4 linked regions of the Arabidopsis thaliana genome follow. The protein of the gene in region 2 interacts with the protein of the main gene of each other region in a pairwise test. Each region holds a gene or a part of one and is shown on either strand. Other genes may lie near its edges.

Region 1 (4,586 bases), on a different chromosome or scaffold from region 2:
ACCACCGCTGCTGCTGCTCCGGCGAAAGTTCCGGCCGCTAAGGCTAAACCTCCTCCAATTGGCCCAAAGAGAGGATCCAAGGTACTTATTCATACATAATCTTTGATGCATGTTTATACTTCAAAATTTTGAGTTTATTGATGATAGCCAAGTTTGGATTACAATAAAGTTTCTGGACTATTTAGAATAATTTTGTAAGTATGGGGTCAATGTGAAACTTATATGAAGTTTTTGGACCTCTAGATCAGGATTAAAAGGAACTAACCCTTGTGGTAGAAGAAAATTCAAGCTTAATTAGATGCTAGTAGAGAAGATTGGACTAATATTTGAGCTAAACTGGGTATCATCAATAAGTTCTGGGTCTATTTAGTATACATATTAAGAGTTATAGGGCTACTGTGAAATTTATAAACAATTTTGAGGACTTACAGGTCAAGATTCTAAGGAAAGAATCATACTGGTACAAGAACGTTGGATCAGTTGTGGCCGTTGATCAGGTAATGCATTTACTTTTGAAGTTAACGATCTAACGGTTAGATATCGTTTCATCTTATATTCCGGTCTAAATTGTCAGGACCCGAAGACCCGATATCCGGTTGTGGTCCGGTTCGCCAAGGTGAATTACGCGAATATATCGACCAACAACTACGCATTGGACGAGGTGGAAGAAGTAAAATGAGAGACATGGTTTATCTCTAAACCGGTTCGTCTGTTTGTAATCTTAAACAAAACCGTATGTACCAAAAAGTTAACCAACAATTCATCTTTTATCTTTTACAATCTCAAGATCGATTTCCAAATATGCATTTAGCCACCCAAAAATGATTGCAAATTCCAAGTAGTGTGGATCAAACTCAGCAACTCCGGTTTAGTAACAGAACCCAGCATGACTCATTGACTGTTTTTTGTACGTAGAAAGAAACACAAGATTCTTATTGAAAATCTCTATATAGACAGTAAATTCAAACAGCAAATCATCTCGACTTCAATAAGGAAACATGAAGAATCACCAACCAGTTTCATCTCTAGAAATCTCTAGGTCTGACCGTTTTTTCCATTGGCTTCAGCTAAAATTGCTTCCAGCTCTCCTTTATTGTGCAGCTGCAATGTATCTGTTCAACAATAATGATATGCAGGTCAAGTTACCAGAAAAATCACAAGACATTGAGCAAGATCTTGAGTACTATCTATCTTGGTGCCAAAATACACAAAGACGATCTCAATTACATATTAGAAAAATCTCGGTGTTGAGGTAAGAAAGGAAGAGAGATTGTACCTGAGCAGCCACCAATGTGCTTGCCTCCTGGTCATGAACAAAAACATGATATCAAAATTAGATAAGTGATGGTCATAGCAAATGTAGTGGCTAAGATTTTATCGATAGTTTTGTTTTCAGGCAAAATAATCAAGAAAAATGATCAGAGTATAGTTAGTAACTGGCTTAAATGATGAAACAACTAACCGATGAAAACATTGGGAACAGTGTATTGTCCAGTAATTTTCTCCAACACATTCTGCAGCTGCGACCCTTCTGAACCTGGAAACGCCAAAAACCACCAAAACTTTTGTAAATGTTTCAGACCAATATCATGAGGCAGAGATGTTTTACCCAAAGAAACTAAACAAGACAAGAAAGAACAAATGGTTTTGGAAAGTCACCAAATCTTGACACGAGAAAAGATAACTAAGAAGATAGCAACATAATAGTTTCTAACAAATAGAAGCATACTGTCTAAGATTCAAAGGCAGGAAAGAATCTTCAATTTGAAAAATTTAAGCCATTAGAAGTACTAGCCTACCCGTTGATTCTTCATCAACAAGTCATTGGTCCAAGGAAAACTACAGTGGAAGTAAATTTTTCACATAAACAAGACACAGAATCTCTGAAATGTAAAGCTATCTTAGGCCATTAGAAACCCCCCTAACCATCATCAATCCTCCATCAAAATCTAATCAAAAAACATACAAACCAATTCAAGCAAGCAGCCAAATGAACCAGAAGATAAACAAGAAGAAGTTGGAAACAAGTATTAATTTCATCCAGTCAAAATGCTGAAACATTAGGGCACTTGTAACCAGCTCTTCCTTGATCGATATAAACAATATCACACACATTATCAAAACCAATATAGCAAACTACTCAGACCCATATAGCAAACCAAAGTAAAGAATTGAGCATACCAAGTTGATCCAATTCAACAACCAGTGGCTCAACTTGAAGACTCTTGAACAAGGACTTCACTTGAGACGAGTATCTTCACCACCAAAAAGAACAAACCCAGTAAAAGTATCAATATTGACAAACTAGATCATAAATTAACAAAACCCATTCCTCTAATTGAACCAAAAAGTATAGTGAACCTACGAGCACCAGGTTTTGGAGTAAACAACGACAGGGTTCTCTGCCACAGTCGTTTTAACAGTCTCCTCCAATGTCGATCCAGACGAAGACGATGATGAAGACATAGCCTTAACAGAAGAACAACGGAGTGGTGGCCACGACGCGATTCCGATAACTGTCGGCTTTAGACATCTCCTGAAAGGTAACATGCCCAAGTTTCTGATTCCGCTTAACATGGAGAAAGAGATTGCTGGATTTGAATTTAACGACGTCCATGTCATGTTCGCGAGGTTTACTGTTGCGGCTACCATGGCGATTTCTTCTTCCGACGAAATTGGATGCTTTTCTTATTTTTGCCCTCAGATTAATTTACCTCTTTTTATATCGCCGATATTTTTTGTTCTTTATTTATAAATATCAATAAAACAACTAAATATTCATAAGAATTGATTAAAATTCTTTGTTTTTAATACATTTCTGTAGTTTTTATTTTCTCTAGTAAGTTTACGACCTTTTATTTACACATCATGATAAAATTAACAACAACAAAGAAAGATGAAAATGATTGGACAAAAAAGATACTACTAGTTCTTTGATGAGGCCATTTAAGACTGTAAAACAGTAACAGAAATTATTCAACACCCCAAAATGGGGTTTGTGTCTGCAAAATCCAATCTATTGAAAGTACACAAAAACAAAACATGTGCTTTCTCTCCTCCACCTCTTCCTCTTAGACCATTTTTCATTTCAAGATGACCCTTCGTCGTTTGGCTCACGAATCTGGATCGATGTTTTCGACAAGCTTGCTTCCAATTCATCCAGCTCATCCATGTCTAGGTCATCATCATCATCATCGTCATCTTCTTCTTCTTCATTGACTTCTTTCGAACTCTGTTCAGCATCACCACTACTCTTGCTTGTCCCTGCCTCTGCTTCTTTGTTCTTTGCCTGAAAAGCAAAAAACTCAAGATTCCATTAACATGACTTGGTTGTTTTAAATGATGAGTGAGTGAGAGAGAGAGAGAGAGAGAGAGAGAGAGAGAGAGAGAGAGAGAGCTCACCTTTTGTTCAGTCTCTTCCTGCTCTCTTTCCCTCTCGTATTCTTCACAAGCCTCAGCATCATCCACAAACAAGCTTGCATTGGACAGAAACAGCTCCCGACCACTGAGGTTACAAATCCACACAATGAATCAGCTTCCAAGGACAAAAATAGAGTCACACTGGAGATGGATATGTAACAGAATGATGAATGGGGATTACCTCATACGGTCGTTCTTAGCTCTCTCCGCTTGAGAAGCAGCCAAACCGGCATCTCTCTCAGCAATTTTCTTCCTCTTCCATTCCATAAATAGTGCAGGAGTCATTTGTGTTGCGGTTTGCAGTTTTGCACGCTGAAACATAGAACAAGAAAACATGGGTCTCACAAATCAAGTACCGGGTCCTAGCAGCTATGAGGGAAACTTGAGGAGTATTTTAAACCTCGTTTTCGATTTCGTCCTCAACTGCCAGCTTCTTCGATGACTCCTCTTCCAAGAGGGCTTTCATTTGAGATTTAAGGACATATCCAGGAGGAAGCGCGTGTCTGTAATGACACTCTTTGCCACCATTGGGGCATGACCAGAACCACCCATACTGTTTCTTTTCCACAGCATCCAGAAAATACTTGCAAACCTATTATTTTTCAGTAAACACAAAAACAATTACAAGTCAATAAAACTCAGCGAGACAAATAACTCATGTGTTTAGGATAAGTTTATGAGATGATTATTGAGATGAGACGCAGAGATATTATTTCTTTTAGCATAGACGTATATAGTTAAGAAACATTTATTTCAAAATTATGATTAGCACTAACATCACCAAAAGCATGAGTTCTTGTCAGGCATGAACCAAGTGCGCAGAAAAACACAAGGGAACAACGGGAGGCATAATAACATCTAAGACCCTAATGGCTCTTAATATGAACCGTGCTATTAGCTAAAGGAAGCGCATCGTAAGGCGAATGCACATCAGCTAAAGGTTAATCACAGCAAGTGCAACCAAAACTAATGCATCACTTCACATAATACACGTTAAAAGGCTGTATATTTGAACACAAACCAGTTCAGACATTTTCACAGTGCATTAACAAGAGAAAAGCTACTAATAACTGATAAGCATGTCCCGACAAGCATATAATAAAAAGTCCGAGAAACACAAGATAAGAGAAACAACTTACGATATCTGTTGGCTTATTCTGATTATA
Region 2 (3,993 bases):
GTGCCAAGACCAATGTTGTATTTTAATACAGTTCAACATACCTGAACCACCAGAGAAAAGAATTAAGACCAAAAGCAAAAGAGGTACAAGCATTAGATGCCTATGTTGGTTCCCTTTAGGACTTAAAGTAATCAAAATCAGTAAAACACACAAGAAGAAGCTTAACCATTTTTTAGCATATACCAACACAGAGGATTTTAATATTCAAAATCTCAACTTTGATCAAAAAAAAAAAAAAAAAAAAGATACAATGGTCTCAGGAAAGAAAAGTTGCAGAAATTGGTTGGCTAAAACCACAGCTGGTTTCACTAGACAGGTATGTAAAGCTGATTGTATATAAAACCCCACAAGTCTCAGCTAATGGGGCTTTAAGAAACATCACATGTCTAACGGTAGACTGAAACAGGGATCATCTGAAACTCCTTTCACATTTTTTACTTATTTTATCAGAAAGAAGTAAAGCAACCAAATCTCTTTCTTTTTTTCTGTAGTCCCTCAAACCAACTTGCATCACTTGATTAGACAATACCAACTTTGAGTATCTAGATTCTAGAAGAATTAAAAAATGAACAAGAAACTTCGCATGTCTAATGGTGGCATGAATATAGTACCATTTTTCTCCCCAAATTCCTTTTTCGCTTTCCCTAGGTGCTGTGATCTTTCTAACGATTCAAACTTAGCCAAATGGACAACAACCTTGAGCATTCTCTCTATTCATCTCTCAAAGCGTAGGTACAAAACTTAATATCAGGAAACCATATCAAAACAAAAAAGACCTTGACCCTCATAAGATAAAGGGAAATCAGTTTGAAAATGGTGAATCATGTGGCGATTGGCGAAAACATTATTTATATCCTTCAATATCTATCTCTCATTTAACACAATCCTGATCGAGCTCTTAACATTATTAGAAGGTCCAGAGAACAATATCCAAAGCAAATGGACCAAAAGAAGTAAAAGAATCAGGACCTGACTTCTTCCAATGTTACACCCTCAAACCTCAGCAGGAGTCTTTGCCACAATAGAGAGAGCATGTAACCCGCTCTTCAACTCATCTTGCAACAAGTCATATATCAGCCTATGTCTCTTGACCAAGCTTTTACCTTGGAAAGCATCCGAAACGATTCGCAAGTTGAAATGTGTTTCCCCATCATCACCAGCACTACCTCTAACAGCGGCATGTCCTGCGTGCTGGTAAGAAACATCTTCAACTTCTAACTCAACAGGATCTAGCTCCTTCTCCAATTTCTCTCTTATCCTCATCCCTCTACTCCCTAAAGCAACAACATTTGACCCACTCTCAGAATCATCAATCTTTTCTGTTCCCAAATCCTCAACTAGATCAGGTTTAGACTCCAAATCCACCTCCGGAACATTAGCTTCGTCCTTAGTCTCAGGAATAGACACAAAGCTGGATTCTGAACTCTCTCCAGAACTTGAATCTTCCTCACCTTTGACTTCCAAATGAAGAGCCTTTTTCTGCATCAGCTTAAGCATATTAAGTAATCCATTGTTTCTAGAAGGAGACAGACTCTGCTGCAACCCGAGAAGAACAGCGAAATCAGGTGTTATCCTCAAAATCTCAGGGACAGGTCTTCCAGATAAACCCTTGACTAATAGAGCAGCTAACCCTTTAGTGAGAACCGAATCAGAATCAGCTTCATACACAACATTACGTTCCTCATCAAAGAAAGCCCTAACCCAAACCTGAGAAACACATCCTTCTACTTTATTCTCCCTCGTCTTGAATTGAGAATCGAGAGGTGTCAGATTCTTCCCGTAGAACATAAGCTGCTCGTATTTAGCCTTTGGCTCTTGTACCGATTGGAAAAGCTTGACGATCTCTTGTAGCTTCGGTGGAAGCTCTTCGATTGGTTGAAGGTCTCCATAGCTCGACGGAGATGATGAAGCCGATGGTGGAGGAACAATCCCGGTTGAAATTTTCTGGAAAGTGATGATCGTCCGGCGAAAGGAAGGAACTTCCGACGGTTTTAGTGGTCGTAGAAGAAGGGTTTTGGCCGGATAATGGATTGAAGAAAACAAGGTCCGTTTGAATGGGATTAAACGAAGCGAGGAAGCGCAACAAGAAGAAGACATCGCTGCTGCCATAGTCGCGAACTTGAAACTTCGAGAGAGACTGAGATGATGATGAAAGCTCTCCTTCTTCACTTTTTCTGAGTCAAAAACCAATACCGCCAATTAGGTAGTAACCGGGAATTAAACCGGGAATGTACCAAAATCCAAAAATTAGATGTAAAATCAATTGTGGGGTTGATTATGAATAATTAGAAAGTATACGACTCTTTTCATAAATAAGGAAAAGAAAAAGATATCTAGATTTTTTTTGTTTTGTTTTGAAGCATCGTCTTCCTGGTTCTTCGTTCTCTTGCGTTCGTCACCTCAAACACGTCCGCCATTATTATATATCAAATCAATCATGTCCGAATCCAGCTTTTACCAATGTAAGCAATTAAATTAAATTAAATAAAAACACTTTTATCAAATTTAATCAAATTAAAAAACTGTCCCTTTCTTATCTGAGATTCTATTGTTTCTGTCTACTTCCACAGAAAGAAACTGCATCTCCGTTTTTTTTTCTGATTTGAGGCTTTCCTTAGATCCTTGAGAGCAAAACTGAATCTGGGTAATTTTAAAAATCTCATTTTTACGACTTATCTCTTTTGAACGATCTGTTTTTTCATGTAAGTACGATTTCACCTCGAGATGATCGATCATTGCTCTTCTGGTTCTTCCATGTTTGATTAAATGTTATAACTTGAGGGTTTTGTTTCTTTTGGATTGTTCTCGCATTTGTTGATCTATGGTTATCAAAAGAGTTTGGATTTACAGTTTTTGGTTGCAGCTGAAATTTTTCACTCTTTTCTTCTCTGTTTTGCTGGATAAAGTTGGATTTGATTCACATTGTTGTTTAGAATCTAGATGAAGTTGTAAGATTCCTTGTATTGTGTTTGCTTATGCATGATTGTGATAAAGATTTAAGTTATTTTACCAATGTACAATGTCCAGAATTGTCGTCGGGATGGGTTCTAAGTCCGTTGTTGACATGATCGAAGCTGCCTCGCGGGCACATTTTTCTGGTTTACACGTGAATGGGCACATGAATGGGTTGGAACCAAGTGCACTTAAGGAAACCACTTCTGCATCAGAAGATATCCAAAGACAGCCTTTTGTAATAGGTGAGTTCTGCTTTTGCTTTCATTTTTGATTAATATATGGTCGTGGATAAAAAAAGCTTGACGAATGGTCTTGATTGATATGTTGTGACTTGAATTGGTTAGGTGTTGCTGGAGGCGCAGCATCGGGAAAGACTACTGTTTGTGATATGATAATCCAGCAACTGCACGATCAGCGTGTTGTACTTATTAACCTGGTAATTTTGTTTTGCTAATAAAGTTTCATAGAGCTAAGTGATAACCACCGGTTTGATTTGTGTTTCGAATGTATATGAAGTCAATTGAATTCCACACAATTTAGAGATCTAAAAGGAGAATATTACCAGCTAATAACTTATATATGGCTGAAGTTTAACATTGTTCAACCTTGTCACCATTGTTTAGATATTTATGTCAGTCTATTTATCTAATTCTCAAATTCCTTTGGCATCATGATAAACCACAAATTGCTCGACTTAATATCCTATGATAATGATTTTTGGCAGGACTCGTTCTATCATAATCTGACTGAAGAAGAACTTGCTAGAGTTCATGAATACAACTTTGATCATCCAGGTGAGAATATATTTGGAGTGTAATTGCTTTCTGTAATCTACTCTTGTCAATACATAGTGTCATCAGGAGTAAAAAATCTTTCCTAGCTTCTTTGGCCATTTTTTTTTTTTTTATAATACTTCTTTGGGATAATTAAGGCATAACTAACAGCCATATTATTCAGTGATATCTTACTAATTGATGTATTCTCTTTTATTAAAGCAATTTCATCCCTGACAGCACATTACTAGTTGCTGGGAGTTAT
Region 3 (3,694 bases), on a different chromosome or scaffold from region 2:
GAATCTTTCACAAAACGTACAATGTTGCATCATGTCATCAAAACAGAGTAATCTAACAAACAATTCTGATTCCAAACTGAGCAACAAAACAGAGTAAAAGGGTTCGAAGCGTACCCAGGAGCAGAACCGTCAAGGTAAGCTGGTCGTGGCTCGCCAGGCATCCAGTGAGCAGCCATTCTGATACGACCAACATTCCCGGCGTTTGGGAGTGGAACTCCGGCGGATACGAATTTAGACTTGGAAGAAGAGAGAAGCGAAGGGTACACGGCGGCTATGCCACAGCTCATAAGCGAGTTCGACGCCATCGTTTCTCTCTATCTGTCGTTGTGTTTGCCACCAAAGGAGAAAGATGTGGACGAGAGGTGTTTGGTGGAAGTGTGAATGTGGGAGACTGATCGTATAAGTAAGATTTGTGAGATGAGAATCTAAAACCAGATTGCAATTGGCTATACAGAGCCTGCGTGGCTTTTTCATTGGGCCACGTGTCTTCTCGATATCATGTTCTTCTGTTCGATATCCATCTGCACTATGTGGTTCAGATAAAAGCAGAATCTACGTATATTACTATTTTGCCATTTATCCACTGCAACGAGATGCTATCAGATAAGTCTTCCTGTTCGGTGAAACACATTTCTACTAATGTTTTAAAACTTGACCCGGACCGGTAAATCTGCGATTGGTCATGAATCCGGTCTGGATTTATTGCTAAGACTGGAGACTTATCAAACCGGTAAAACTTGGATCAACGAACACATGCGAGGCTAAATCATATGTCTTGAAAGGAGTATCTAACAAACGATACATTTTGAGACAACGTGTTTAGACATTGAAGTGAGACAGAATACCATTTGCAGACACACTGTACCGGTGAATGTTCAGAATCTTTGGAACTAAGTTTCTTTAAATTGTATCTCAATCAGGATATGAATGAGCATAACAACCCATGACTTCATGTCTCTTAGTCAGAAACAAACTTAGATTCTACTAGCACTACTTCACACATAAACCTTTCAACAAACAACACAAATTTGCAGGCCAACACATATGACAAAGGAAACTCAAATTCCAAGCAACTCCAACTGTTGTATACCTAAATCCATCATACAATATATGTCTCTTAATGTTACAACCACAAACTCTGAAACATCAAAATCACATTTTTTTTCCCAGGTGATAGATAGATAGATAAGATCAAATTCCATCATCACAAAAACCAAGTATTGAAATCAGGATCAAGAGCACATAGCTTTCTCCACCTCTTCCTGCAATTCTCCAGTCTTAAACGCCTCAAGAGTAATATCACAACCACCGAAAAACTCACCGCCGATATAAAGCTGAGGAAACGTCGGCCAATTCGAATACTCTTTAAGTCCTTGCCTCAACATCTCATTCTCCAGAATATTCACATCTTCGAAAGGAACATTCAGATTCTTCAAAATCTGAACCACAGTGTTGGAGAATCCACACATCGGGAAGTCTCTCGTTCCTTTCATAAACAGAACCACTTTCTCCGAATTCACCAGTTTCTCCAGCGTGTCTTTAAGTTGCGGCGTAAGAGCCGACGCTGAGCATCGGAATTTAGTTGGTTTCAGCTTGAGATTCGAACCGTAGAACGATAGCTGATGGTTATGGACGACGAGTGCCGACGTTGGTTTAAGAGAGAATCTGATAGAGTGAGGCTTGTTGGTAACGGAGGAGGAGACGACGGCGACCGAAGTTATCAAGGTCGGCGTTTTGACAGATCGGAGAGCCATTTTTGACGACTTTTAGATTTGGAATTGAGAAATTGAAAAGGTAAATGATTTATGAGCCACAGACACTCAGTGCGAGTGAGAATTGAATAAACCATGTTGCCAAACATCACCACTAAGCCGGTAGTGCATGTCATAATCATGGGTTTAAAAATAAAAATTAGAGGACATTCCGGTTCGGTTTGGTTCGACTCTTTAGATTCCGGTATTTTAGATATTAAGAAATTGGTTGGTTCCACTTGGATCGTATTAGTATTTCGGTTTAATAATTTTAGAGAAATTATCAGGGCATCAAATGCTTTTCAGTTTTTCAACACAGAGCTAGTTCTCTTTTCTTCATTCACAAGGTATGTATATATCTCTACACACCTATAAAACCCCATAAACGATTAAAACTTATCATATAACTTCTCCAATCAACATAATTTGTTTTTTGGTGGACAACATATAGAATAAAGTTTTTATCACATACAAAAAAAACGGAAAACATAGAAAAAGATGGTTGACGAAAACAAATTTTCAGGTTGAAGACAAACCATACGAGCCCGGGGACATGGAAGAACTGAAGAACAAGCTTTGTTTTGGTGATCAAATACTCTCAATCAAACACGAGTTGGCATGTTGTTGAAGCTCTAGAAGAAAGTGCCAACTCCTTTAACATGTCAAATCTTTCATCATCAAAAACACATGACTTGATTGTTGTGGTCTTCAAGTGAACAGCGTTCTTCAAGAAATACACTGCAAGATCTCTCTCTTCTGGTGTTCCTCTATATGCCGACAAGTTGAGAGTTTGGAGACTCAACAACATACATTCAGGGACAGTACTTGGTTGATGCCAGTAAAGGATATCATGATTCTCATGATACTGAGATCAAACAGAAGAAGAATTACAGATCAAACAGAAGAAGAATTACAGATCAAACAGAAGAAGAATTACACTAAAACCATAATGTGCATCAGACAAGAAAAAAGAGTTTGACGAACAAACTTACATCCATTTCGGAAAGGTCTAGTGCTTGTAAGTTAGAAGAATCTTTGAGCAGTCGGACAAGTAAATCCGACGAATGCCCTTTGCATCTACATAGCTTCAGATGTTTAAGCTGGTTGAAGACAAAACCTCCATCATACATAGCCTGCGCAATATTAAAAATTATCAGCAAATGCATATCTAAACAATGAGTTGAGAAAATGATACCTGTGAACATATTGAAAGACGCTTGACAGATGTGATTGATCCAATAAGACTCTTGATGCTATGTAATTCAACATCTATATCTGCCTCTATCAGGTTAGGCATATTCTTAACCAAACAGTAGTGACTCTTACTGTTATGGTCTATAAGTTTAAAATACTTTAAAGAAGGAGTTTCTATCACAATCCCATCGATCTCATAAGAATGAGGTATAAAGAGTGATAAAATCTGCAAAGATGGGACAACAACAGTTAGCTTTTCCATGCTGTCTGACAAAAGTAAATCCACCAATAGATCTTCAAGAACAGGGCAGTTAGATAGAAGCCGATGAAGAGAGTCTTCATTGAGGTATCTCACGCTGTGAAGTTGCAAAGTTTTCAGAGAGGGAAGAAATGCCATTCGAGGAACATCCAAGCGAATCTCGCCACAGAGTTCCAAGATCACAAGCGATTTGCAGGTATACAAGTTACTCGGCAATATGTTTGGCTTCTCCGGATATGAAGAATAAATAACCTCCAGCTCACGCAGGCAGTGAGAAACTGCTATAACAACCCACATCTTGATATTCTCAGGTGTGCATTTTGAATCAATTAAGTAAAGACGGAAGCTTTCTATAACCGGAGCTCTATGTAATGGCAGATTTTTGTCAAGAAAACACTCCAACCTCTTGCATTCAGAAGAATCTCTATGACCATACTTAAGTTTAGGCAACCACATCCAAAGATACTCCCATCTTTTCGACAAAATGCTA
Region 4 (4,636 bases), on a different chromosome or scaffold from region 2:
TAGTACTCATCCCCTTTTTTTGTCTGACATCGTATATGTATATTGGTTACATCTAAATTTGTCACACTTGTGTAGCAGTGATAGTTGTCTCAGTGTGTCTATAGACTATAGTTAAATGTTAATTAGTAGTATTTATACAATACTAATTACATCATCTAAATATTTGCATATGATTCACACAAGGCAAATTTCCTTGGCTAATTGTCACACTATTTATGTGAAGGTGAGTAGTTAAAGCTAATAACCTCGAAGTTGCTTGGTTTATATGAGATCAAGTTTGGCTCTTGTAAGTGAAGATAATAATTTAAAGAGTATTTTAATCGTGATAATCTAAATGTTAGTTGATAGTTAATACGTCACGGAACATGTACCGACCGACGGCCGATTTCCATGATACAATAAAAAAATGAAAATTAGCAATCTCATAACATGCGACGACGATACTTATGGTGTTGCCACGTAGCAAGCATCTTCCTCTTAACCATGAGGTGTCGCAACCTCAGAGGACAACACGGACAAGACCGAGAAACCGCATACTAACGCTTGCAACGTAAAGCACAACACCCCTAAACTCCTATTTTTTTAATTTTCTTTTAACCTCAACACACCACGCAGCTATACACGTTTCAATGTGCTAATACGTGTCTTCTTCTCCGCCGACCAAGACACACTACAAATGTCCCGATGGTTTGGGGAGACAAATCACAGTTTCTACTACAACAACAAATACTTTTACGAAAAAAGCTTTTAAAACTTATCTAGTTTCGTTTGATACACATTTGAAGAAAGAAATGGCATCCAACCAACAGAGCTACAAAGCTGGTGAGACCAGAGGCAAGGCCCAGGTAATAAGAATATATTTTTGTGTATGTGTATACGTAAAACCACATTATATAAGCTCTAAGATGATTTGTCTGTGTAATACCAGGAGAAGACTGGACAAGCTATGGGAACGATGAGGGACAAGGCTGAGGAGGGCCGGGACAAGACTTCTCAAACGGCCCAAACAGCCCAACAGAAGGCCCATGAGACAGCCCAGTCAGCTAAAGATAAGACATCTCAAACTGCCCAAGCGGCTCAGCAGAAGGCCCATGAAACGGCCCAGTCAGCAAAAGAGAAGACATCTCAAACTGCCCAAACGGCACAGCAAAAGGCCCATGAGACGACGCAAGCAGCAAAAGAAAAGACATCTCAAGCTGGCGACAAAGCTCGCGAGGCCAAGGACAAGGCCGGGAGCTACTTATCGGAGACAGGCGAAGCCATAAAGAACAAGGCTCAAGACGCTGCTCAGTATACAAAGGAGACGGCTCAAGGTGCGGCACAGTACACAAAGGAGACGGCTGAAGCCGGTAGAGACAAGACGGGTGGATTCTTGAGCCAGACTGGTGAGCATGTTAAGCAAATGGCAATGGGTGCAGCTGATGCAGTGAAGCATACTTTTGGGATGGCTACTGAGGAAGAAGACAAAGAGCATTATCCAGGAAGTACTACTACCACTACTGCAACTACTCGAACCACTGATCCGACTCATCAGACTTATCAGAGGAAGTGATGAGAAAACAAAATTGAGAACGATATGAAAGTATCTTTGTGTTAGTTGGTCTTTTGAGTTTTGTGTTTGTGTTTTTGTAATTTCCGTTGTGTCTTTCTTTATGGTTGTGGTTCAGCTGTGTTTCTTGTTGTGACGGTGATCCTGGAGACTTCTAATTTCCAGCCAATAAGTTTAGATTTGATCCTGTTACAACTTATGTGTTCTCAAATTTCTATTTTTGTTACAATAAACAGTTATTAATACACATCATGGTCCACTTCGTATGTTGGTCATCAAGCATTAGCATTATACAGATATAGCTGCTAATCCAAACGGGTTTTACTAATCTTTCAATTTCTTTTATCAAAAATTTCAATAAAACATTTGTGTCTGCTTTTACGTTTTACGAATCGTTCAATTTCATAGATCTACTAAAATGAGAGAAGTAAACCAAAAAAATTGAATAGTAATTTATCTAAACCGAGCAAACCAAATAAATTTATCAAGACGTCAACGGACGTATACTTTGGTGACCATCCGAAACGACATCGTATAACATCTTAGGGTTATGAGTAATGACACGACGTCGTTCTCTGGGTCGGTCACTGGAGATGAAGAGAAGCGGTCGCGACATTGTAAAGATCTCTAGCTCCGTCCTTCTTCCTCGTAGCTACCCTCTCTAATCTTTTTTTCTCATTCCTGTTCTTGATAGTTTTCTAGACAGATTTCGATTAAACAAAACCGCGGAACACTTTGAAGAAATCTGCGTGATTTAGAGATGGCGGCTTCTTTATCGAGCAGACTTATAAAAGGAATCGCTAATCTCAAAGCTGTTCGTTCTAGCAGATTGGTTAGATTCTCTCATAACCCTTTTACTCAATTTTGATGTATCTAATGTTTGCTCAATAAAGTTTTCTCTTTTCCCATCTTGAATCACTTAAAAATTGCTCCTTTATATAACATTTGAGGTTCTGATTCTTTTGTTAGTTGAACCGGATTAGATAGTTACGTGAGCGTATGGTTTTGAATTATGTGAAAATGAATTTGTTTCCAATAGAAGATGGTATTGATGATCATTTGATAGTTGAATTTAACATGGAGAAGAATGATGTGGTTTTTGTTTGCAGACGTCTGCATCAGTCTACCAAAATGGGATGATGAGATTTTCCTCAACAGTGCCAAGTGATTCAGATACACATGATGATTTCAAGCCTACACAAAAAGTCCCTCCCGATTCTACGGACTCACTTAAAGATATCGTTGAGAATGTACACTCCAGCTTCTCTAGATTTGAAGTTGAATGTTTCTTTGTTAGGTGTTTGCTAATGCTGTTTTAGCTTTGGTGGTTGTGTAGGATGTGAAGGATAATCCTGTTATGATCTACATGAAAGGTGTCCCTGAATCTCCTCAGTGTGGGTTTAGCTCACTAGCCGTCAGAGTTTTGCAGCAATATAGTAAGTTTTGTTGAAATGTTGATTGAAACTGAAGAAGCCTTCTGTGAATTTTCTTTACTATTGGCGTTAGGCTCTGTGTTCTGATCTACTATCTTGTGATATCCTTCTTTAGATGTTCCTATCAGTTCTAGAAACATTCTAGAAGACCAAGAGTTGAAAAACGCTGTGAAATCCTTCAGGTGAGTATGTGGACACTTAATGAAAGTTTCATACAGAGAGTTGTATAATCTCATTCTCAAAGTTTTTTCATAAAGTTTGGCTTTGTTATTGAAGTTCGTTACCGTTCATTCCTTAATCTTTGACCTATATGATCTAGACCTCCCTTTGATTTTCAAGTCTTTATTTCTTTGCAGCCACTGGCCTACGTTTCCACAGATCTTCATTAAGGGAGAGTTCATTGGCGGCTCAGACATCATCCTTAACATGCACAAGGTTAGTTCCACTTAAAGCAGACCCTGTTTGACTTTTTTTTCCCCCGTTTCCATTGTGTTTGTTTAATCACAAGTCTCTTTTACTATTCTAGGAAGGTGAATTGGAGCAGAAGCTTAAAGACGTCTCCGGAAACCAAGATTGATCCAAAGTTTGGAAGTTATGCTGACGAGTGGAAGTTATTATGTTTTTGTTCTTTCTTTTCATAAGAATGTCTTTTCATGTACGGTAAAATAATGTCTCAGAAACTCAAAAATCTTTGGATTTCGTATGAATAAAAACTTTGGTAAACTAAGATAGCAAAATCAAAGAAGCCCAACGAGCCTTATTTATTTATTTTATTATTCATAATCAAGAATCGAACAGTAGAAAAGCATGAATAAATCACAAAACAGTAGAAACATGAGAGAACACCGTATACCCCAAGAAACCCCCCACCCCTTATATATATAATATAAATATTCTACACCATCGTATAATAGCTATAGAGATGCTGAGAAGATGCTTGTAAAGTTTAACGCGAACCCTCGAGACCAAGCCTTGAGACGAGCCAGTGAACCACCTCATCCATTTCTTTAGGAACCGTATAGTGACCAAGCCTACACAATCACATTAAAACCTCACAATCTCAGACTAAAACAACTAGATTGATAATGATAACTTTGGGATATAGGTTGAACAGTTACCCTTCATATGGTTTGAACATAGTTTGTCGGAATCCAGCCATGGCAAGTGAATGAGCAGATTTTTCTCCAAATCTATAAGGAACTACATCGTCCGCTGCAACCAAAAAACACATAAAGTGAATAAAATTCTAGATTCTCTTCGGTGATTTTATCTTGAAACAGTAAATCATATAATGATATATGTAAACATACAAGTTCCATGTGCAAGTAAGATCGGTATCGATGCAGCGCGCCTTGCAACCTCATTCGAACTTTCTATTTTGCTCCTTAAGCTCCTGCATTGTTATGTTTAAGCTTTCAATGTTAAGTCTCTGTGTTAACAAGTGACAAGAAAGGGTTGAAGACATATATTTATACCTCCAACCAGGAAGCCAACCGCTAAGTCCTACAGTAGCTCGTAGGTTTATAGTATAAGCATGTCCGGTTCCATAACGTCCAAGAGCGTAGCACGTCGTGGAGTAGAGAGCTATTGCTGCACCCATACTGAAACCTCCTATCCCAACTTTGACTGACACAAACCACAAATAACATTTTCA

What was found.
Region 1: the proteins of CPSUFE (region 2) and AT2G20270 interact in a two-hybrid assay, tested with the Arabidopsis thaliana proteins (one study listed by BioGRID).
Region 3: the proteins of CPSUFE (region 2) and CXIP1 interact in a two-hybrid assay, tested with the Arabidopsis thaliana proteins (one study listed by BioGRID).
Region 4: the proteins of CPSUFE (region 2) and GRX4 interact in a two-hybrid assay, tested with the Arabidopsis thaliana proteins (one study listed by BioGRID).

What each region holds. Positions count from the first base shown.
Region 1 is NC_003071.7:8,736,966-8,741,551, forward strand, and holds AT2G20270 (Thioredoxin superfamily protein), read right to left. Parts: upstream 2,696-4,586; 5' UTR 2,653-2,695; coding exon 2,366-2,652; intron 2,256-2,365; coding exon 2,182-2,255; intron 1,619-2,181; coding exon 1,463-1,618; intron 1,304-1,462; coding exon 1,277-1,303; intron 1,113-1,276; coding exon 1,036-1,112; 3' UTR 821-1,035; downstream 1-820. Other genes in the region: PSAE-2 (photosystem I subunit E-2), read left to right, coding at 1-81, 432-497, 575-679; AT2G20280 (Zinc finger C-x8-C-x5-C-x3-H type family protein), read right to left, coding at 3,089-3,289, 3,403-3,505, 3,602-3,732, 3,821-4,012, 4,560-4,586. UniProt on the Arabidopsis thaliana protein: May only reduce GSH-thiol disulfides, but not protein disulfides.
Region 2 is NC_003075.7:13,381,463-13,385,455, forward strand, and holds CPSUFE (chloroplast sulfur E), read right to left. Parts: upstream 2,180-3,993; 5' UTR 2,110-2,179; coding exon 994-2,109; 3' UTR 736-993; downstream 1-735. Other genes in the region: UKL4 (uridine kinase-like 4), read left to right, coding at 3,041-3,197, 3,300-3,391, 3,680-3,749. UniProt on the Arabidopsis thaliana protein: Participates in cysteine desulfurization mediated by NFS2 in chloroplast and NIFS1 in mitochondrion. Activates the cysteine desulfurase activity of NFS2.
Region 3 is NC_003074.8:20,340,618-20,344,311, forward strand, and holds CXIP1 (CAX interacting protein 1), read right to left. Parts: upstream 1,848-3,694; 5' UTR 1,755-1,847; coding exon 1,233-1,754; 3' UTR 740-1,232; downstream 1-739. Other genes in the region: LHCA1 (chlorophyll a-b binding protein 6), read right to left, coding at 115-305; AT3G54910 (RNI-like superfamily protein), read right to left, coding at 2,350-2,616, 2,744-2,884, 2,947-3,660. UniProt on the Arabidopsis thaliana protein: May only reduce GSH-thiol disulfides, but not protein disulfides. Probably involved in the regulation of the redox state of the BOLA proteins. May act as Fe-S cluster donors to Fe-S cluster-requiring proteins.
Region 4 is NC_003074.8:5,307,057-5,311,692, reverse strand, and holds GRX4 (glutaredoxin 4), read left to right. Parts: upstream 1-2,068; 5' UTR 2,069-2,309; coding exon 2,310-2,381; intron 2,382-2,658; coding exon 2,659-2,799; intron 2,800-2,885; coding exon 2,886-2,985; intron 2,986-3,097; coding exon 3,098-3,164; intron 3,165-3,338; coding exon 3,339-3,417; intron 3,418-3,508; coding exon 3,509-3,559; 3' UTR 3,560-3,928; downstream 3,929-4,636. Other genes in the region: AT3G15670 (Late embryogenesis abundant protein (LEA) family protein), read left to right, coding at 792-845, 929-1,552; AT3G15650 (alpha/beta-Hydrolases superfamily protein), read right to left, coding at 3,929-4,013, 4,101-4,194, 4,293-4,375, 4,458-4,608.